Tribolium castaneum: one gene and its partners. The protein of the gene in region 2 purifies or fractionates together with the protein of the main gene of each other region. This does not show direct contact. Links are inferred from orthologs where the notes say so. Each region holds a gene or a part of one and is shown on either strand. Other genes may lie near its edges.

Region 1 (4,279 bases), about 8.6 Mb from region 2:
AGTTCCATTTTTTTAAAAGTTAGATTAGAAAATAACAAAAATGTAAAAAAAATTCATGTACATGTAAAGATGAATAATAAATTGGTGAAATATAACACAAAATGAAAGTTTCTCGAATGTTTACTACCCAATAAATTATTCCATAAAACTTGAAGCTTCAGAATCAGACATAGTGTCTGAAAGATAATGTCAGGCTTGCTTTGTCTTCTGTTTTATGGCAATGACGTAGCGTTGGGCCACATACAGGGGCGGGCTGTAGCCTTCAGGATACGCAGCGTCTTCAAACAAAATCTCATATTCATCAGTATGTGTTGCGGGAGGCTTGTTCACAATGCCTTTATAGAAGCAACTCGTAGTTGGGTATAGAGCCATAACTGAAACGCAAAACCAACATTTTAATTTACGTGGTGTCCGGTTATAACGAACTCAGAAAATGTGTCAAAATCCGTTCGTTATATCCGAGGTCATTAGAAGAGATAAATTAACAAAGAGTGTCTTTTTAGCTGTTATTTTTGCTTTATATCATTTGTCAAATAAGACGAAATAAGAAAGAATTGTAAAAAAACATTAATCCTTTGCGAAAAAGTAATAATTTGATAGTTGTGCAAATATTTTAAGGAATGTGAGTAGAGCTCAAAAGAACTCAACTTGCATTATCCGAATATTTGTGGTTTCTGAATTTTCGTCGGCGATGGCGAATAAATTTAAATTTGGCGAGCAATTTTAAACTTTACTAATAAAAATTTTAAACAAATATGATCTCTGAGGAATCTACTACACTGAGTAAAAATTATTAGCAAAAACAGACACAAAAAAACCACGAGACATCCCATAAAATAATTATAAAAATGTAAAAAATTTACATAGATTTTTTTTGTGCTAACATACCACCGAATGTTTCAACACGTTTGTGACATTCATCGGGCAATAATTCCAGAAATACTAGCCGAAACCCTAATAAGTGTATAATCGTTGGATAGCTCTTAATAATCTGTTTCTTTTTACAAAAAAGACCATTGTTCTGCGATTAACAGTTTTAAAAAAAATCGCAAACAGTGTAAAAAATATATCTTAAAAATTATTAAGAATCTGGTCATTTTCTTGACGCCAAGCGATTTCCCAGAGCATTTTACAAAGACAACTTTAAAATAGTTTCAATTTTCCGAAGAGTTTTGCCATAATCGGTGCTTGAAACAGGAGGAAGTTCGTTGTAACTCCACTTACCGACAGTTCCTTGTGGAAACAAGGCCGTTGGATCAGTCTCGGGATTAGCCCGCATTAGGGGTAACGGTACCACATTTCTCTTGCTCAAAGTATGTCGCCGTTTCTGATTCTGCTCCGCCAAAATATCATCAACTTCGTACTTATTTGAGGCGTGATTATAACTGTACACTTCAGCCAATATCCAGTTTTCGCCATCTCCATCAGGAATTTTAACCAAAGCAGCCACCATATCGCCCACTTTTGCCACATAGCCAGAGTCAGCAGGTGTGGCACCACAGAGAGCAGGAGGTTTTTCGTCTATTTTACCGACGAAAAGGGGCAATGTTTGTGCCGAACTCATTAACATCTTCATCCAAGTGCCCCTACGAATCGATTCTTTGTTTCCAGCATGTCTCGTTTGAATTCTCCGTTCGTTCTTAATGTTGCGGATTTCCGCAATTTTTTGAAGAGCTTGACGGAGCAAATCCTCCTCTTGCTCGGCGTGCGAAATTGAGGACTTGTAGAGGCTCTTTAGCTTCATCTACAATATATAATCATTACAGTAATCATATAAACTCTTATTGAATCGAAACAATGGAATTCTTTAAATTCACGTAAACAAAAATATTTACTTGAAACACAATTGAGCTTTAAAAGGTGGTTCAAAGGCGATTTTTTTTAATTTAGCGTTTCCAGGGCACCGTAAGCCGCCAAAGATCAGAAAAATGTCATCAAAGATCTTAAAAGCCATTGTAATTATTTACGTTTTAACAATTTTAACTGTAAGTTGCAGTGAAATCAGTACTTTTATTTGTAGCATAATTATTAGGTAACGATTGCCGCTGAGAACAAGACCGAGGTAAAGGGACCAAATGTCGTTGACACAAAGAAGAAAACAAATCACACTGATACACACATAAAAATGTTGGCCCCAAATTACTGTTATTTTTTCGGAAAATGCCTCAAAATATTTTGCGAATGCCAGAAAATCCACACCTGATAATGTTGGCTGGACTTCTCGTCTTGCCCATTTTGAAACTTAACAATGTTGTTTATTCCTTGTTCACTCTGTTGGCGTTTCTTCTCAATCTCATGAACCGTGTGATAGAGCGACTTCAAGTGCTCCTGAACTTTTTGCGCTGCGATTGCGTCTGCACTAAAGGGCATTTTAATAGTGCAATTAAAATTCACCGCAGAAATATGGGTTCCTGAAGTGCCTGTCTACAAGCACAACGTGGTACCAGCAAAGCAACACTAAAGTGACGAGTACCTGAAACGCCCAAAATAGAGCAAAAGTATACACTTTAGTAATCACTGACTATTCTACACACGGTTCTAGTGGAAATGTTTATTTCAATTAAATCAAAAAACATTGATTTGACTGTTTGATGCACTGCCAGGGAAAAGGGCACAAGTCGCACTGCGGGGGTAACTTTTATGTATTGTACTTTACAATAAACTACTAATTATGGAAATGGTAATTTTTTATCAAAATAACATGCACGTAATTTAAAATACACTTATTTTTGTTTGCCTGTGCTTGACGTTAGCCGTGCAAATAGACTACTTTTTGAAACACACGACCTAATACATATATTCAATTAAACCTACAAAAAATTCACTAATTAGTAATAATTGTGGAATAAAATGCTTGATAATGTTTTTAACATTGCAACGATAATATCACTAAGTTTCCCTTTTTTTCTATATAAGATAATGTTGTGTTAGGATTACTTATCTCTGTGTTGTCACATTGGAACTACGACGGCCTTGAGGCGCTATTTAAAAAATTGCAACTATTTTTTATTTATTTAATTAAATACGTGTTTGTAAACTTGCTACGAGGTTGTGATTGTGAATTTAATTAGTACTTGCGTCTTTAGATTAAAATGAAAAAAATTATTTGCTTATTAATTATGTAACTAACTAATGATATAGAGGTTTTTAATTTAAATATTTCAGGAAAATTCTGGTTTCAAAACGATTTGGGTCTATCTGAAAATTTATTTCATTAAAAAATATCGTGTTATTTAAATTTAGCGCCGCGCTTGTGCAGAGCGTGATGTTTGTAGACGTTTTAGGAATTGACAGGTAGCACAGAACAGAAAGGGTTAAGAAGTGATAATTCCCTAGTAAATCACTGGCAACACGAGAATCCAGCGCCTCTGGTGCTGAAGTGCGTTACTACCACGGTAAAGTGCCACGTTTGAATAAATTCCTTTTATATTGTTTTTTATTATTTTTATCTTACAAGTTTCATTGCAAATTGTTTAAAATAAAAAAATATATTTTCATTTTAAACAAAATGAAAACGTTTTATATTTATTTTAAACAAAATTTGAAATGAAACTTACAAAAAAAGTTGTTTTGGGGTAATAAAACACAGATTTTGTTAACATTTTTATTGTACACTTGAGTAACATAACAAATTAAATTTTTCAAAAAATTAAAGTATTGTATTATTTCTTAATTATACAAAAATTATAAAAAAATTAAATCAGTCAGTGTTGGCATGTTTTGCCTGTCTGCTCGAGACTTAAAACAAAATAAGGTCTGCTTTGCAATGACTTTTACCTTGTCTGTCAGCAAACAGTTGCCCACGCTACGACCACGAGGAGGTACATGCAGTGCACTGACACACTCGAGCGCAAATAAGAAACTTAAAAGTAAATTCTGAAATACCCTAAATAGCGAAAACGCCAAAATTTTGAACTTACAGGATCCTCAATTTTGCAGGCATTCCTCCACAATTCTTGAAGCTTTGGATTCTTAGGGAAGGTGAAGAAATGCTTATTGGACTGTCCTTTGTTGGGAACATAATCACTGGTGCATCCGGGGTATTTGCAGGAATATTTGCGATAACCAGCCATGACTAAAGTTCAGTTGAGTAGTAGAAATCAAAAATCCGTCACTCCAGACCAATGCCTTTAAAATAGAAAGAAACACCAATCAAAAAGATGAGGTTATATTAATAAAATAAGAGATACTTATCTTTTTGGTCGGCGCTCAACACCAGGAATTGACTCACTAACGAACTGTAATCAGAATTTTTGCTTTGATTAAACGATTAAACAAA
Region 2 (4,151 bases):
GTCGATTCCGTTCCCGAATAGTGAGAAAGAGTTCACACTTCCCGATTCCGACTTCGGTTCCCTCATTGTGAAGAAGGAAGAGGACAAGAAATTGGCGCAGAAAGGGCGCGAAACGCCCAAGTCGCTCAAGGAATTGCGAAAAGATGAAAAGACTCCTGTGAGGAGCAGTAAGGAGGTGCCAAGGCGTGATAGTAAAGACAGTAAGGACAAAACCCCAGTGAGTGCGAAAAAAGAAATCAAGAAAGAGGCTGAAAAGAGTAAAAGTAAAGGTAAGAGTAATAGTAGTACACCAAGGGAGGAAAACAAGGCAAAAGCGAAAAGTGACGACACACCAAAACTGACGAAGCGCCCTACTAGAGGCAGCTCTAAACCTGACGATTCCAGTTCGAGTGGTAAATCTAGTCCAATCACAGTCACACCACCAGTGACAAAAAGGCGACGCATTTAGTTTCTTTCTCACTTTATTAAAATTAATAAAAAGTGCCTCAATAAATTACGTAAAACACGATGCAACTCGGAGCAACATCACCTCTCAAGGCGGCAGAAAAACGCATGTTTCGATTCGCTTGTCTCGCGTAAATACTTATCATAAAAATTCAAAACGACTGCTTCCACCTTAAAACCGAACTTTTGGTACAAAAACAAGGCCGGGTTGTTGATGGACACGTGTAGTGTGATATCTTTGCCGAGACTTGTCTGAAATAATTAATTAACCAACTAGTTTAATAAAAATCGACTTTTCAATTACTTGGATTAAGTGATACAACATGAACTTTCCAATCCCGACGTTTCGCCATCCTGGCCGTGTAAAAATAAAAGAGACGTAATTTTCGGTGTATTTAACATTGGGGACGAGGAACGCAAACGCCACTATTAATTTTTTGTACAAAACTACGCAACTAAAATCCGGATATTGCAAACTTTCAGTTACTGCAACAAAAAATTAAATTGTGTTGTAACATTTCGGACACTTACGATCGATTCCTGGCCAAAAAAAGTTGTTGCAGAGACTGTTAATGGCAGGTATGTGCTCAGGTTGGACGTAGGTGTAGTCAATAGGGGCCCTTGGAGGTAGAACGTAATTTTGTGTTTTTTCGTTTGCTTTCATTTGTATCTCGGCCATTAGGCGTAGCCAGGATGGATAAGTTTCTGTATCTCTTCGTATGTAAGGTTTTAAATAAATGCTGCTGTAAGGTGAGAGAATTAGTTCTTTTCTGATACCACCCATCAACCTGACTCTCATTTCGCTTCCTTTCTGCCTAAACGCGTCTAAAATTATTTTTGGAGTAAATTCTTAAGCCCTGGGACTATGGGGGACCAAAATATTTGGTGGCATGACGAAAAATCGAGCAAATTTTAAGCGCAAAATAACCTTTTGGAATTGGTACTTGGGCAGATTTTTTTATTCAATTATGACCTTTCTTAACTTAACTTAATTTCTCAACTTTTTCAATAAATCAGAATCTTTACAATATTTACAAAAATCTCGTCTTGCCTCCTAGCTTTAGTCCTGCACACCTCTCACTTGACTTACTGCTAAAGCAAGTGTTGTAGTGACAAAACGGGTCGAGCAATTTCACAGACTCCTTATTTTGCTCACTTGGGGGCTTATTACGTGGCTGAGCTTCGCCCAAATTTCGCTCGTTTTGTTTGAGATAAGTTGGCGTTAATTCATCACCTAAGTTTGAAAAAACCGGCGAGTTTTTATTCATTTTTAAGAGTCTAGAATTGCATTGTTATGTTGTGACTTTGAACAGAAAAACTTACTTTTTGGACGTGCTCTCAAATGTTGGTAAAAGACTTTTTCTTTTATTTACGGTAAAGTTTTTAGTAATCTACAAACAATGGATGATTTGTAAGTTCAAAACGTAACAAATTGTACCTTTTTATTGGTTTCATCGTCTGGATTTTTTTCCGAAAAGTTGGGAACATCGACAGTGAATAAAGGCGTTAGCAAATCATCGTCTTTGATGTTTTTGTGTAAAATTTGTGTGAATAATTCAGTGTCTGAGACTGATATTTTTAAAATTTTCGTTTTTTGCTTCTCGTTCGTGAGAGCAGCATCTGGAATTATACTTTCACTCCTGATTTTTTAATTATTATTTCACTCAATTACATAAATTTGAAATTACGTTAGGGGTGAGTTTGGGGTAGGTGAGGGCCCACCAAGCCGGTTCATTAACGACCGAAGTCCCCGACTTGAAAAAATACGTACTGAAGTGCGATAAAGTCCCAGCAACGGTCCCAACCCATTTTTTTTTCTTTTTACTACAAAAACCAACAATTACAAATATGTGATAATCAAATGTTGGAACTTACAAATCCTTCAAAAACAGACTCTCCCAGTTTTTGTCGATTAGTGACGCTATGTGGTTCCTCCAATGGAAGTACCCCTTGCGCCCCAAACCCGGACTTCGTGACTGCAAATGATACAAAGCCAAAACTAATACTTTTAACCTAAAAGAACTCGTCCACGGAACGCCCTAAATACCTACTACATTTCTAATTACCAAGACATTTTCTCCCTAACAAACGACTCGGACCCGGCCTCCGAACATTCCTCACAAGTGAATGTGAAAAAAATATCGCCGTGAAGCCCCCCAGGCACACAACCACTTTTGAGACACCGCAAATGAACACTTTGCGAACATGAACTGCACGTTAGGCCTTCGTCGAGACAATCTTCCAATTTATTTGTGCAATATTTACAGATTTTGCAAGTTTCGCTCATTTTTGGATTGTAAACACAACCTCACTTCGAGATTATTGTCACGTGATTGACGTCCATAATGGCGGGTTTTTGAAAAAAATGGACGAAAATTATGTAAAATTGCATTTATTGTAACATCAGTCTTGGGAGGGCTCCGCCGTGACGGCCTCTCGATTCTCGTAGGCCCAAAAGCGGTGAAACTCGATTAAAATACTGACAAAAGTGTCCCCTTGCCCACAGGCGATTAAATCATTCAGGGTGATTTTTTCCGGATCTTTAGGCCTGACCATGTCAAACAGTTCGTCTTTAACGTCCTCAAAGGACACAGCTTCGGCCCCATGGGCCCTCATCTGCTCCTGAATCGCTCGGAAAAAATAATTTAAAGTGAAAGAGTCCAAGTAGCCTTGATTATTTATGTCTAAGATGCGGAACAAAAAAGCAAGAGCTTGTGGTTCGGCACGATTTTCCAAAGCTAGTACTAGATCTAGATAAGTTTTGTAGTCCATTTCACCGGAATAAGTCAAAAGCGTTTGAAAAACGCGGTCTAGAAAGGGCTGCGTTAAAGTCCCAGAGCCATAACCCGCAAGTTCAGATTTATTCAACATTCCGTTGTGATCACGGTCAAGATTTAGATAATGTCCGTAAATACGTAACGTTGAAGGGGCACTAAACCAATTTTGTTCCTGCACCTCTTTACTCAACTCCTCGTCCCTCAATTCGAGTAAATCATCAAGGAACGAACAAGCTAAAATGTCTAAAATCCGCACACGACCCGCACGCACTCCATCGAGGAAAAACAGAAATTTCCGAACGGCCGTACACACGTAAAAACTATAAAACGACTTTTCCAGTCCCTCAAGTTGCGGCAAAGTTGGCAACAACTCAGTGATATAATTCTCCAAGTCGATTTCAGTCAAGTAACCCTGTCCCGTACTATCATACAGCGATAACCCGATCCTGGTCTGCTGTAGCCACACTTTACGCATCACGTAGTTAAAAAGCGACATGATCGAGACTCTGCCCTGGGGGTCACCCTGTTGGAGCTTCGCAAACACGACCGAAGTGAAGTAGGGCTTGACTTTGGGCCCCACCAGCGTGACCACCTTCTGATAATCGGAGTACGTTATCAACTGTTCCTCGGGGTAGCTCTGGTTCTGGTCCAAAATCACCCACAGTTCCTTCAATTCGTTGTTATCCAACAAGTTTTGACTTTTACGTTTCAGTAAATTGGAGCGGCTCTCCTCGCGCAGTTTTTGCCTTAGGGGCTCATCTTCTTTCGGTAATTTATTGTAAAAACGCGGAATGCCCGTGGTTTCGTTCGGTGGTTTGTCACAATATTGCTTCATGTAGTGTTGGAAGTACTCGTCTTCTTGTTGCTCCAACTCGGGGGGCGACTTTTTCGCACCTGGCAAAATTACCAGTCGAAATTTTAACTAAATGA
Region 3 (3,676 bases), on a different chromosome or scaffold from region 2:
AGTCAAGTTGTCAGTGATACGTTAAATAAATTAGTTGCAGTGAATAAATTAAATTCAACTTGTAGAATTTTGTTTAAAACTGTTTTTCAATGGAATTTAAAAAAAAACTGGAAAGATTTTGCTTAAACTATAGGTAAAAAATTGTAGAATTAAGTCTAAAAAAATCAATAAATTTTAGGAAATTTGTAAAAACAACGGAGGAAATCACTTAATCAGGTCTAGAATGCATTATTTACAAAAAATTATGAGTAAACTCTGAAAATTCGAAATATTTGACCAAAAAAAACACTTTCAATAAATGCGTATTAAAAGCACGCAAAAATTCACAACACGCACTGAATAATATTAAAAAAGTTATGTAAGAATTAAGATAAATGATCAACAAAAAGGTAACTAATTTTTGCAAAGCTGTAAACAAAGTTTTATTCATTGATTTTTGTTACGTTATCACGTCGATTTTCAGGAGAGCTCTGAAGGGTTAAACGAAAAGCTAACATATAAAAAAACTTTTCATTGCAATCACAAATTTACATACAAACAAAGGCAATAAATAAATAAAATCTTCAACAACAAAACGTTCAATCCTTATCAAGCAACAAATTCGAGTGCAAATAATCGTATGAAAGATTTTCAATTTCGCTGAACAAATCGGACCCAAGTCCGTCCACAAACTCGTCATTACCATAATTACCAAACTCCAACTTTGGCATTTCTTCACTTTGATTTTTATTATCAATTTTCTCGCTTTCGTCCATTCCGTTTGCCATCACTTGGTCCTTGACATTATCCGAAATATCGCTCATTTCTTCATCACTTGATTCGTTATTTTGATCCAAACTGCCACTATTTGACTCTGAATCACTTTCAATTTCTCTATCACCACATGCGATTAAATTGTGGTTTAAAGGGTGGCTATTATCGGAATAAATTTGTGTTAAAACACAGTCTGTACAAAAATCAATTGAGTCATTTTTGCAAGTGTTACAATGCCATCTGGTGCCAATTATTGGTTCATCGTTGCAATAATCACACTATAAGAAAATAAATCACCAAAAAATTGGCTAAATTATTATTATTTTTTACTTTAAATCCCACGTGTTGGAAATTAGACCCACTCTCATTCTCCCTAATTTTAACTTTTCGTATCCGTTTTAAAAGTTCCAGCTGTAACTCACTGTCACTTTTTTGGGGCAAAATCTCACTCTCCTGGTGATAAACCGAAGGTATGAGATAATTGGAACTTGTAGAAGGCTGTATCTCATCTGTAATTTTCGAACTAGGTCCAGGAACATTATCCAAGTCATTCATTACTACAGGAACACATAAATCGGGGAAAAAAGTTGTAGGTTTCCATAAATAATGATTGTGACGCTGGTGCTTATGTAATGACGTTCTCTACAAAAAAATAATTTTTTGGTGCCTTAAAATAATGTAAATTCACTTTGTGTTTTTCGGCAGATTTTGGAATTCGGCCAGGAATTGGCAATCCAGCTTTGTACAATTTCACAAAATATTTCTGAATTCGGCTCGTGACTTGCTGAATTGTTCGATTACCTAAGAAAATTTAACCAAGTTTTAATATTTTTCGCCTAATTAATTACCTAAAGCATCAGCGATTTTTTTAAACCGTCTCATTTCAACCGGTTCAGGCGGATAAATTTGGAGCAATTCTTCTAAACGTTTCTGCTCTTCTGTTGTCCATTTCTATAGAATCAAGCAATTTTATTTGAACCGATTTTACAAAATGTGTTACCCCATGTGAAATTTTCGTTTCTTTTTTCGGCGTTTCGGGTTTTTTCTTAACAGTCTCAGAACCGTCTGAATAAATCAATTTGAAACTTTCCTCCGGGATTTTAATATCGTACTTTGACCAGTCAATAACCGGCAACTAAAATGCACCAAATGAACAAAATATTCCTTGCTTTATTAAAAATTATATTTTGTTCTCTAATGTAATTAGGTGAAAAAAATCTCAAAAAAATTGTAATTACTTCAGGCATGCGGTGCATATCTGGCATTCCCAAAGACTCCCCTTTTATAATTTTCTCCAAGACTTTGGCCGGGTCTGCCAGTGCTTCTTTCTTCAATTCTACTGCTTTGTTATAGTCCTGAAGACTTTTTTAATCGAAACGTAACTAAATTCACACAACTTTACCTTTATTGCTTGTTTTCTCTGAGCACACAGAATGAGCAAGTTTTTAAGAACCTCACTATAGTCCTTATTTCCTCTCAAAGCCAAGTGATCCGTTTCGAAATAGTACAAATCTTCTTCAGGATTTATGTCCGATTCTTGCGTATTTGTCATTTTGTTTGTAAAAAATTGACTAGATATTACACAATTCACTCTCGTATAACTTAATTTACAAAAAAATACAAGAAATAAACACTACACACGTGAAATTGACAGCTGACCTGTAACCTTACTTTTGACAACCTTAAACAAGACCAAATTTACGAAAGTGGTTCCGTCCGATCTTCATTTTCGTTAATTTTCCTTAAAGCTAGCTCAAGTAGAGTAGTTTGCATCAGTGGTGATAAATTTGGCGTCTTGGATTAAAGTTTAGATTGGGCGAACAATCGGTCATATGGTCGCAACTTGACATTCGAGGTTAAGTTGAATCATTAAAATGTGTTTTTATTTGAATTAGTTTTGTGTGTTTTGCTTGATTAACAGTTTAATTATACCATGATGTTTACTAAAATTATTACACGAAATTTTCTGAAAGACTGCGATCGTGTTTTGGTAGGGCTTCGCCCCTTCTCCCTGTCCTCAAATCGTAACTGTGATGAGAAAAAAACGCAAGAATCTCCCCTAAAGAAACTCCTCGACGAATCAGCAACCTTTGAAGACTTGCACCCCCAGACACAAGAACAACAATGGGCTACTTTGCCATACCCTCAAGGCACCAAAATTCGCAAACAGGGTGTCTCATTTATCGAAAAACCTAAATATGATCCACGCGAGTCCTCGATAATTTTATTTCCCGGTCAGGGGAGCCAATTTGTCGGTATGTGCAATGACTTGCTCAAGTACCCCATGGCTAGGGATTTGTTTGAGTTAGCGAATTATATTTTAAAGTACGATTTGTTAAAATTGTGTCTTGAGGGTCCCAAAGACAAATTGGACCAAACAAAATATAGTCAACCGGCAATAATGGTCAGTTCTTTAGCGGCAATTGAACGACTGAAAGAGGAGAGACCTAGGGCTATTGAGAGTTGTGTGGGGACAGCAGGGTTCAGTTTGGGGGAAATTACAGCGTTAGTGTTTGCGGGGGCGATTGGTTTTGAGCGAGGTTTATTTTACAACCAGTTGGCAAAAAATTGAATTTTATTTGGAATTTTTTAAGGGTTACGATTGGTGCAAATTCGGGGGGAAGCAATGCAATTGGCTAGTGAGGCGTACAAGGGGGGGATGGTCACAGTAATGTACGGTCCTGACACGAAGTTAAACCAGGCACTAGTCAAAGCCAAGGAATGGGCAACTGATAAAGGCGACTTAATGCCCGAATGTCAAATTGCCAATTATTTGTACCCCCATTGTAAAGTCATCTCGGGGAGCGAATCTGTAATTTTTTTTCTTCATTTTTGTAGTTGTTATGCAGTTAATTGTAGGCGCTTGATTATTTGGAAAAAAATGCCAAAGAATTAAATTTACGTAAAGTTAAAAGACTTGCGG
Region 4 (3,570 bases), about 1.1 Mb from region 2:
TATAAATCGGGATTAAATTCTCCTCCAAATCCCTACGAGACTTAAAAATTTTGGCCAACTTTTGGACGACTTACCAGACTTGTAACCGCCCGCTGAAGTCGCCAGTCGCAAGGTGGCGGTCTCTTAAACTCGAGGCGTGAAACGTGCCGCATTTAAAGTGGTCTTTCTTGCCGAATTCGGCCACTTTTTCGATCCCATCACCACTGATTGAGTAGGTCTCGATAATTCCAGCCCCGTTTGATTTGCCCCCGATTGAGACGAATTTCGCGGAACAGGGGATCCACTTGACGTCGTGGACGGTGTAGTTCAGGGCTTGCTGCACGTGGCAGATTATTTGGGGCCTTTGGAGCGACTCCATAACGTTTGATTGATCAAACAATTGTTGTCATAGCAAAGCGCATTTTCGGGGGCAATAATTGCCCAAGTTTAAATAAAACAAGCTGTTCTCGTTACGTTTTTAATTATTTTGTTTTTTTTTTTCACCCCCGTTATATCCTGCAATGTTCTTTATTTTTGCAGGAAATTAAGCCCTTCGTTAGGGCCTTCGACTGTAAAAAATCATGTTCGGACAAACAGCCATTGGGACCTTTTTTTACGGCTGTAAAAAAACAATTAGCAATACATTTAAGGATTGCTCTAATTAGTCAAATTATTAACTAATTTGTCCAGCAAATTAGGTTTAGAGCATTCTTGTCAGGAAAAAAGGAAACAGCTTCCAAAGCATTCGAAAAAAAGATTTTTAATTGCATTTTATTCGTAAGAAAGTGAGGTTAAAAATTTGACAACTTGCGCTCTAAATATGTCGTTTCAAATATAAACAGAGTAGTGATAAAAGTAATTATTTTGCTTCAATTCGGTGATTATGTAAGCGCAACAACACTATGATATGTTAGTGACCGTCAAAGTGTTGTTTTTCGCTAAATCGAGAGAAATCGTGGGCCAAAAATCCGCCGAACTTGACCTGCCGTCCCCCATCTCCTACAAAAAGCTTTTAGAAACACTCGTCGGCACGTATTTTTTGGCCGAAATTGCCCAAAACATTATTCTCTCCCTCAATGAGGAGTTTTGCGACGTGGAAAGTGTCGAAATTGTGTTAAAACAGGGCGACGAAGTAGCAATAATCCCACCTCTGAGTGGCGGTTAGGGCCCCAAAATGAATTTTTTGAAATTCACCGAAGACAAGCTAAGTGTTGAGGCGTTGACTGATCTAGTCGCCTCGCCGAAATGTGGCGCAGTCTCGGTTTTTATGGGGACCACCAGAGACAGTTTCGGGGAAAAAACCGTCCTTAAATTGGAGTACGAGGCGTACGAAGCCATGGCTTTGAAGTGTCTCGAAAAAGTGTGCGGGGAGATCAGGGCCAAGTGGCCTCAAGTCGAAAATATCGCAATCTATCACAGGTTTGAAAAATTTAAATTGGGGCCAAATTTTGATTTTTTTTTGTTTAACAGACTGGGGGTTGTGGGGGTCAAGGAGGCTAGCATTGTAATTGCAATCGCGTCCCCCCACCGTACCGAGGCGCTGCAAGCCACCGACTGGTGCATCAACAAGGTTAAAGAGAGTGTGCCTATTTGGAAAAAGGAGATTTACGCTGAAACTGAAACTCCTCCACAGTGGAAGGAAAATAAAGAATGTGGGTGGTCAAGTAAATAAAGTCTAAAATTGATTGGCTCTCATTTATAGCCCCCAAACCGAAAAAATTCAAGCTCGAAATCGAGCCCAAAGTCGAAATTCCCAACGTTTCGCCCCATTTGATTCAAATCAAGGCCTCAAACGCGGACTTGAGCAAACGAATCGAGAATTTTATGGAGATGAAGCGAAACGAAATCAACATAAGCAATGTGAGAGAGTTTTGCACAAGTAATCGAAGTTCAGAGTTCACTTGCGCCCGAGTCGATGCGGTTTTGCAAAAACGCAAAGACTCCAATGGCCATTTGCAAGGTTCGTGGCCCTTAAAAAATCACAATTTTACGATTTTTATTCCAATTTTTACAAGTCTGCTAAAAGTATACAACTGCACAGGGTTATTCTATTTGGCACCAGACATTTTTCATTAATGTTTAGAGAACACATTTTTATCTGAAAATAAAAAAATTAACGAAAAAATTAAGACTTTACGGACAGGACACAAATGTGCCGAGCATGACCTCCTTGATGTATGCAGACAACTTCGTTAAAAATAATACATCAAGGAGGCCATGGCGCCGAGTAAAAATTGACTGAAAAAAAAGAGCAAAGAAACTGCACGGTCAACACGAGAAATATATTTTTAACAGACTAACCCTCTATAAATTTAGCAAAAAATGTCGGGGAAAAGTGCTACTTTTCGGACGATTTTCGAAAAACAAGTATTTCAGACTAATTTTTTTGCAGTAAGTCGGGTTTTGAACACTTACCACCGCGACCAAACAAATTCGGACTACCTGACCAAATACATCCCCCAAAACGGCATTGAGGAGCGCCTCCAAAACCTGGAAATCCAACTCAGTTTGACCACCCCAACCCCGAAAAATATCTACACCCGTTTGAAGAAACTAGAAGACCGGATATTGTTCCTTGAAACGATTTCGCCCGAATATATCAATTTTTGGGTAAGCTTTTTGAGAGATTTCCCTCCCTTTTTAGTGAAATTTTTAGGACAAAAGCCACTTAAACAATAGATTTGTGAAGAAGAAGGTTTTCTCAGTTGAGGAAATCGATTCGCTAATTAGCGATTTGGAGCGGAAGGTTCAGGAGGAGAAAAAATAAATCTGTTTTTAGTTTATTATTATTATTAAAAAATAAATTACGTAAATATTGTCGGGTCGGTAAACCTGGCCGTGAAAATGTAAAAAAAAGCCGGCAGTGGGACCAACAGTAGCAACAATGAGTGAAAAGTCGGGTCACTAAGCTGAGTTATTGAAATTAAACCATAGGCGTGTAAACACCAATGGCCCACTAAGATTACCACATTTCTCGGGTCTACAACTGTTGTTATGATGAGTGAGGGAATCGATTGGTTGATTTTGAGGGCAAAGTGATAAGCACACGAAATAACTGACAAAATAACGACCAAAATTGGGAACGCATAATCTGGAACAAAACCAATCAAAAGTGTGATTTTTGGCGCAATCATTACGTACAAAGAAGTCCCCCAATTAGGGCATGGACCACCACCAAAATCGGTATATAGTACATGGCGGCATAAATCGACATTTTGCTCTGCCTTGGAAGGTATTTCCGGCAAACCCATGGCCTTATCAAAAGCATAACAATCAAAGTCAGGGCATAAAAAATAAAAACTAGCGTATACCTAAAACAAAAACACTCAATAAAGTAGTATAATCAATTAGTAGCCCTACAAGGGATACACAGCCTCCTGGGTACAATGCACCCTCTTCTCATAATCCGGGGCCGGATTATGCAACAAAGTGTACCAATCGGCCAAGCTGCGCACTCTGCAGTTCCGCACCTGGAACTCGCCGAACGGGTGCGTGAAAAGCACCGACAAGAGCCCCGAAATGACCACTTCCACCAGCGCAGTCAAGTGTAAAATTAGGACGTCTTTTTTGAAGCTACAACGAACAGTGAAG
Region 5 (2,365 bases), on a different chromosome or scaffold from region 2:
ATTTCGGGGTGAAATGGGGCGAAAACTGCAATAGTGCATTTGCGGAGCTGGAAAACATAACAATTTTTAACATTGTTCCGACAACTAAAAGGCCATAATTTTATTTTTAAAAAACGTCTTTTTTATTGTTGAATTGGTGGTCAAAAGGGCATTGTGTGACAAAACCGATTTCGGGGTGAAATGGGGCGAAAACTGCAATAATGCATTTGCGGAGCTGGAAAACATAACAATTTTTAACATTGTTCCGACAACTAAAAGGCCATAATTTTATTTTTAAAAAACGTCTTTTTTATTGTTGAATTGGTGGTCAAAAGGGCATTATGTGACAAAACCGATTTCGGGGTGAAATGGGGCGAAAACTGCAATAATGCATTTGCGGAGCTGGAAAACATAACAATTTTTAACATTGTTCCGACAACTAAAAGGCCATAATTTTATTTTTAAAAAACGTCTTTTTTATTGTTGAATTGGTGGTCAAAAGGGCATTATGTGACAAAACCGATTTCGGGGTGAAATGGGGCGAAAACTGCAATAGTGCATTTGCGGAGCTGGAAAACATAACAATTTTTAACATTGTTCCGACAACTAAAAGGCCATAATTTTATTTTTAAAAAACGTCTTTTTTATTGTTGAATTGGTGGTCAAAAGGGCATTGTGTGACAAAACCGATTTCGGGGTGAAATGGGGCGAAAACTGCAACAGTGCATTTGCGGAGCTGGGCAACATAACAATTTTTAACATTGTTCCGACAACTAAAAGGCCATAATTTTATTTTTAAAAAACGTCTTTTTTATTGTTGAATTAGTGGTCAAAAGGGCATTGTGTGACAAAACCGATTTCGGGGTGAAATGGGGCGAAAACTACAATAATGCATTTGCGGAGCCATAAATATTGAAATTAGGTGAAAAAGTGGGAAAAATTAAAAAGCAATTTGTGGTAAATAATTGAGTTTTTCGCTATTAGCATAGTGACTTTCTTAAAATGTCATTTTTAAGAGGGTGTTTAGTGTTTTTTCGGATTTTTATTTTATTAAACGGTTTCAAAGCTGACAACCAAACATACATCTAAGCAAACTGAAACTTATTTTGCTAGTCTGAAACTGGCTTCATGTTCGGGTCTCTTCGGAAATTCGAGGAGCTGGTTTTGGGAGCTGTCTTCACACAAATGACGATCTGTCATTTCGCGGACTCTAACAGCATTATCCTTGACATGTCAAATTGTTCCAGCTGTCCCTATTTGAGGTTAAATATCTCTTTTTTGTTGATAAATATAACAATTTACAATGTCTAATCAAAATAATGCTGGTGGTTTAACAAATACCGAAGACGATGAGCTGACTTTGCCTCGGGCTAGCATTAACAAAATGATAAAGGAGTTAGTCCCATCAGTTCGAGTTGCAAATGAAGCAAGGGAATTAATCCTCAACTGTTGTACGGAATTTATCCATTTGCTTAGTTCTGAAGCGAACGAAATATGTAATCGATTGGACAAAAAGACTATAAATGCGGAACACGTTTTGATGGGTATGTTTCATCATTGTTAAACAACACAAAAGTAAAGTTTTTCGCAGCTTTAGAAAAGTTGGGTTTTGGAGATTATCAAACCGAAGCTGAAGCTGTTCTTAAGGACTGTAAGGCTGTTGCAGCGAAACGCAGGCGACAGAGCACAAGGTTAGAAAATTTGGGAATACCAGAAGAGGAGTTGTTGAGACAACAGCAGGAGTTGTTCGCCAAGGCTAGGCAAGAGCAGGCTTTTGTGGAGCAACAGCAATGGGAGCAACTACAAGCTGCGGCACAAGCCCAAGCTTCGGCTCTACCAAACAATGATGATGATTACGAATGATTTATTAAACGCTTTAAATATTTTGTTATTGTTTTCATTTATTTTTTAATATCTTAGATTTAGGCTTTGTATCAACCACAAACATTCAATAAATAGTGACCCAACGTTTTTTACAAGAAAATTATTCATCTGCAATCTTATGCGTACGAAGTCTAAACAGGATAAAATAACCAATTTCCTAACGCTGAAAAACACTCATTATTACAGTCTTGGTAATGTAGTCCCTGTAAATAATTAAGTAATAAAAATAATTATTAAATAAATGGAAAAAAAACCTTTAAAACTAAGCGCCAACTAAGTGCCAACGTAACATGTTTGCCATGTTTTGATCTTGGCAACACTTTTTTCATTGAAATATCCCCAAGATAATGTCATTTTCTAATAGAAAAAAAGTTATTTAATTTCCATTTAGCACGTAACCGCAGAACAATTTTTATATTTAATACAAAAATAGTTTTTTTGATAAGCAAACTAGAGATACAAAAAGGCGCAAAGCTGCCGTACATTGAGGTTATGTGAATGA
Region 6 (3,444 bases), on a different chromosome or scaffold from region 2:
GCTTGCGAGATTTGCTTGAACTTCTCCCCTTCATTGGGGTTCTTGTCGGGGTGGTATTTAAGGGCGAGTTTTCGGTAGGCTTTCTTCAGGTCGTCCTGGGTACAGCCGGGCTTAACGCCCAGGATGTCGTAGAATTTCGTCTCTTTTACCATGGTTGTAGTCCTGGAAGAAAGGGAGATGAGGATTTTCGGGGAACAAGGGAAAACTTCAAGTTACCTCAGAAATAATCAATATTTCTGGAACGGGGATTACAACTCGTGGATTTTTTAAGTTTGCACACTGACGCAGCACAAAGCAAAGACTGGTTCTAGAGCGCGTGTTCAGGGATAAAACTCCCAGCCACGAGGTTCTGGAAAATTCGACGAAGAGAAAGGTCGAAGACGTAACGAATGACGAATTCTAGAAATTGACAGGACGCCCTCTGCAGGCCTACTCGAGCTTATTTATTCGAAAAGCGGCGCCATTTAATAGAATTTTTGATTTTAAGTCACGTATTTCACTTAAAAGGTTGTACTATTGTGCCTATTTTTACTTCTTCTTAAAGTAGACGAAGACATAAAGCGATTTCTTCTGAATAACAACAACATTTGCCAAGTTATCATAAAAACAGGATTATTTTTAGACTTGTGGAAATTCTGCGCACAAATATTAATAAAACGGAAACGCAATAACAATTTCGCTGTTACTCGTAATCAGTCAATAAAAAATTATAAAAAACATTAATGGTTTTGACTTTTTGACGTTTTCTAACCCCATTTTTTTTCTAACCTTACTTTTGACAACGATGTGATTTATTAACAAAAAAATGATTTCTGAAGACTTTATTCCCACGAAGGGTTCTCTCAAGAAAAGTACACAATCCATTGATTTTAAGTCGGTGTCTTTTGAATCGTATAAGCCCAAAAAACAGGAAAAAATTGAAATTAGTAATGAAAAGCCCCAGAATAAGAAATCTGAAGATTTCAACATAAGGAGAGCGAAACACGAAATTGTTAAATTTGGAATGTCAGGATTTGACCCGGAAAAGAAGGAAGAAGCAAAAATTCAGTTAGCAATCAAATTAGGTAAACCTTTATTATTATTGTATATGTTCCTTACAAAATATAATTTCTAGGAGCAAAGCCCAAGAAAAATAAGTACAAAAACTATAAATTATTAAAGGAAGAACGGGCGAAACTTAAGCAAGAAGAAAAAACAAAGGCTCAGTTCCAGCAGTTGGGAAAAAACGCAATTGGCAAATCCACAGCTAAAGGAAAAGGTTTTGACCGGAAGCGCAAAAAGGCAAAGGGTGGATTATTAGACGTGTATGGCAAAGTGAATTTGAAAAACGCGACGAAATAAATATTTCCACATTGAATTGTTTTTTATTCAAACCTGACGCCATTTTCTAGTGACTTTTTTTGTCAACCGGCGTTGGCGCATTGACGCTTGTGATGGCGGCTGAATAAAGCAGAAATTGCTTTAAAACTTGTGACAACAATCGCAAAAAACGCTCTTTACCGGGATTTTCGCGGTTTAATTTCAGTGCCAGTGGCTTGTTGCAATTATTCAGGTTAGCAGCTTCACAAGAGTAGCATTTGGAGCACCTGAATCGCCACAAAATGATGCCTTTAGGGGGCACAGCCCCTGTCCATTCTTCGACAAACGTTGCCCCACCGGCCCCTGCCACTAACAACTCCTTGACGCCGACGGGCGGCTCTAACAAGTCCAGCAGTAACCTAGTGCGTAATTTGAACTTGAAAGAGGCGCGGGTTAATAACTGTGTTGCAGAAACCTAACTACACGCTTAAATTCACGCTAGCGGGGCACACCAAGGCGGTGTCCTCCGTTAAATTTAGCCCAAACGGCGAATGGTTGGCTAGTTCTTGTAAGTTTCAAATTGTTAGTACTTTGTCTAACTTTGGTTTTTAGCTGCGGATAAGTTAATTAAGATATGGGGCGCTTACGACGGTAAGTTTGAGAAGACAATATCAGGGCATAAGTTAGGGATAAGTGACGTGGCGTGGTCTAGCGATAGCAGATTACTTGTATCAGCAAGTGATGATAAAACTCTTAAAATCTGGGAATTATCATCAGGGAAGTGCTTGAAGACGTTAAAGGGGCACAGCAATTACGTTTTTTGTTGTAATTTTAACCCACAATCGAATTTAATCGTGTCCGGTTCGTTTGACGAATCTGTAAGAATTTGGGATGTGAGGACTGGAAAGTGTCTAAAGACACTCCCAGCGCACTCAGACCCTGTCAGTGCGGTTCATTTCAACAGAGACGGGTCTCTCATTGTCAGCAGCAGTTACGACGGACTTTGGTAAGTCGAAACTACGCTCGTCCGAAAAGAAATAATAAATTTTTAGTCGTATTTGGGACACAGCGTCCGGGCAGTGTCTGAAGACATTAATTGATGATGATAACCCCCCTGTTTCGTTCGTTAAATTCTCGCCAAACGGCAAATACATCCTAGCAGCGACTTTAGACAACACCCTCAAACTCTGGGATTACGCCAAAGGCAAATGCTTGAAAACTTACTCAGGGCATAAAAATGAGAAATACTGTATTTTTGCAAACTTTTCCGTTACCGGGGGTAAATGGATTGTGAGCGGGTCTGAGGATAATTTGGTCTACATTTGGAATTTGCAAACGAAGGAAATTGTACAAAAATTGCAAGGACACACAGGTAAATCACGCATTGTCCTTATTTTGTGTAATTGATTTTTTCAGATGTGGTGCTATGTACGACTTGCCACCCAACTGAAAATATAATCGCTTCGGCTGCTCTCGAGCACGACAAGACCATAAAGTTATGGAAAAGTGATACTTAATCCAGCTTCTACAATGTTTTCTATGAAAAATAATTTATATTTTTTTATGAGTGGCTAACGATGTAAATTTGATTCAGATTAATGTTAGGCGGTAGGAGTAGCCACAACTAATAAACCTTTGAATTTTTCCCAGTTCCTTTATTACGCAGGGAATGATACGCGTTCCAGTTTCATCATATATTCTCATAAATAAATAACATCACATTTGATCACATGTCATTTCAAAGCAGACAATACACTAGCGTTAAGTACGTTACGTATTTACATCACAGCAAGAGTAAAACATTTACAAATTGTTACACTTCATCAGAAAACTGTGTTTGGTTCTCATGTGGCTTCTGAGGGTGTCAATGCGGCTGTAAGTGGCTGGACAGTAGGGACAGAAGGACCTTTGCGCTGTGTGCGAGTGGAAGTGGTGCCACCGATTGGTCACTTCCTTACTGCAAGCTTTACATTTCCATAAGAGCAAGTTCGAGAGGGACGGCTCAAACATTTCGTTGTAAGTGAGAATGGCGCCCCCATTTTGCTCTGCTGAAACAAATTCGGATTAAATAACACAAAACCAAGCAGTGGAACAAGACTGAAATAAAACGCGGGTTTTTATATACAATTTAATGAAACAATTATT

The links.
Region 1: the proteins of Atac2 (region 2) and Sgf29 purify together in Drosophila melanogaster (affinity purification with mass spectrometry; 5 studies listed by BioGRID). This does not show direct contact. The link is inferred for Tribolium castaneum from reciprocal best matches to the Drosophila melanogaster genes Atac2 and Sgf29.
Region 3: the proteins of Atac2 (region 2) and Atac1 purify together in Drosophila melanogaster (affinity purification with mass spectrometry; 4 studies listed by BioGRID). This does not show direct contact. The link is inferred for Tribolium castaneum from reciprocal best matches to the Drosophila melanogaster genes Atac2 and Atac1.
Region 4: the proteins of Atac2 (region 2) and Mocs2B purify together in Drosophila melanogaster (affinity purification with mass spectrometry; 4 studies listed by BioGRID, with this or other methods). This does not show direct contact. The link is inferred for Tribolium castaneum from reciprocal best matches to the Drosophila melanogaster genes Atac2 and Mocs2B.
Region 5: the proteins of Atac2 (region 2) and NC2beta purify together in Drosophila melanogaster (affinity purification with mass spectrometry; 4 studies listed by BioGRID). This does not show direct contact. The link is inferred for Tribolium castaneum from reciprocal best matches to the Drosophila melanogaster genes Atac2 and NC2beta.
Region 6: the proteins of Atac2 (region 2) and wds purify together in Drosophila melanogaster (affinity purification with mass spectrometry; 4 studies listed by BioGRID). This does not show direct contact. The link is inferred for Tribolium castaneum from reciprocal best matches to the Drosophila melanogaster genes Atac2 and wds.

What each region holds. Positions count from the first base shown.
Region 1 is NC_087396.1:14,033,249-14,037,527, forward strand, and holds Sgf29 (SAGA-associated factor 29), read right to left. Parts: upstream 2,801-4,279; 5' UTR 2,523-2,800; intron 2,474-2,522; 5' UTR 2,371-2,473; coding exon 2,200-2,370; intron 1,745-2,199; coding exon 1,225-1,744; intron 375-1,224; coding exon 190-374; 3' UTR 103-189; downstream 1-102. UniProt on the Drosophila melanogaster protein: Component of both the SAGA and CHAT histone acetyltransferase complexes, which both predominantly acetylate histone H3.
Region 2 is NC_087396.1:22,635,646-22,639,796, reverse strand, and holds Atac2 (cysteine-rich protein 2-binding protein), read right to left. Parts: upstream 2,801-4,151; 5' UTR 2,732-2,800; coding exon 2,511-2,731; intron 2,458-2,510; coding exon 2,320-2,457; intron 2,269-2,319; coding exon 2,117-2,268; intron 2,065-2,116; coding exon 1,883-2,064; intron 1,836-1,882; coding exon 1,768-1,835; intron 1,723-1,767; coding exon 1,535-1,722; intron 1,270-1,534; coding exon 976-1,269; exon of another isoform or gene 931-975; coding exon 749-930; exon of another isoform or gene 697-748; coding exon 526-696; 3' UTR 449-525; downstream 1-448. Other genes in the region: MrgBP (MRG/MORF4L-binding protein), read left to right, coding at 1-448; serine/threonine-protein phosphatase 2A regulatory subunit B'' subunit gamma, read right to left, coding at 2,848-4,115.
Region 3 is NC_087394.1:37,104,129-37,107,804, forward strand, and holds Atac1 (ZZ-type zinc finger-containing protein 3), read right to left. Parts: upstream 2,491-3,676; 5' UTR 2,306-2,490; coding exon 2,156-2,305; intron 2,109-2,155; coding exon 1,992-2,108; intron 1,889-1,991; coding exon 1,754-1,888; intron 1,705-1,753; coding exon 1,602-1,704; intron 1,555-1,601; coding exon 1,442-1,554; intron 1,396-1,441; coding exon 1,084-1,395; intron 1,032-1,083; coding exon 579-1,031; 3' UTR 501-578; downstream 1-500. Other genes in the region: beg (probable malonyl-CoA-acyl carrier protein transacylase, mitochondrial), read left to right, coding at 2,687-3,293, 3,348-3,565, 3,613-3,676.
Region 4 is NC_087396.1:21,505,905-21,509,474, forward strand, and holds Mocs2B (molybdopterin synthase catalytic subunit), read left to right. Parts: upstream 1-1,153; coding exon 1,154-1,398; intron 1,399-1,449; coding exon 1,450-1,631; intron 1,632-1,681; coding exon 1,682-1,939; intron 1,940-2,371; coding exon 2,372-2,589; intron 2,590-2,635; coding exon 2,636-2,746; 3' UTR 2,747-2,783; downstream 2,784-3,570. Other genes in the region: Wdr92 (dynein axonemal assembly factor 10), read right to left, coding at 1-32, 75-358; Mocs2A (molybdopterin synthase sulfur carrier subunit), read left to right, coding at 887-1,144; JNK1/MAPK8-associated membrane protein, read right to left, coding at 2,784-3,070, 3,121-3,290, 3,340-3,552. UniProt on the Drosophila melanogaster protein: Catalytic subunit of the molybdopterin synthase complex, a complex that catalyzes the conversion of precursor Z into molybdopterin.
Region 5 is NC_087398.1:1,910,307-1,912,671, reverse strand, and holds NC2beta (protein Dr1), read left to right. Parts: upstream 1-1,163; 5' UTR 1,164-1,282; coding exon 1,283-1,523; intron 1,524-1,570; coding exon 1,571-1,842; 3' UTR 1,843-1,865; downstream 1,866-2,365. UniProt on the Drosophila melanogaster protein: Bifunctional basic transcription factor. Activates transcription of DPE (Downstream Promoter Element) containing promoters while repressing transcription of promoters which contain TATA elements.
Region 6 is NC_087397.1:5,874,508-5,877,951, reverse strand, and holds wds (WD repeat-containing protein 5), read left to right. Parts: upstream 1-1,403; 5' UTR 1,404-1,601; coding exon 1,602-1,721; intron 1,722-1,770; coding exon 1,771-1,867; intron 1,868-1,911; coding exon 1,912-2,305; intron 2,306-2,351; coding exon 2,352-2,671; intron 2,672-2,715; coding exon 2,716-2,816; 3' UTR 2,817-2,944; downstream 2,945-3,444. Other genes in the region: Droj2 (dnaJ homolog subfamily A member 1), read right to left, coding at 1-152.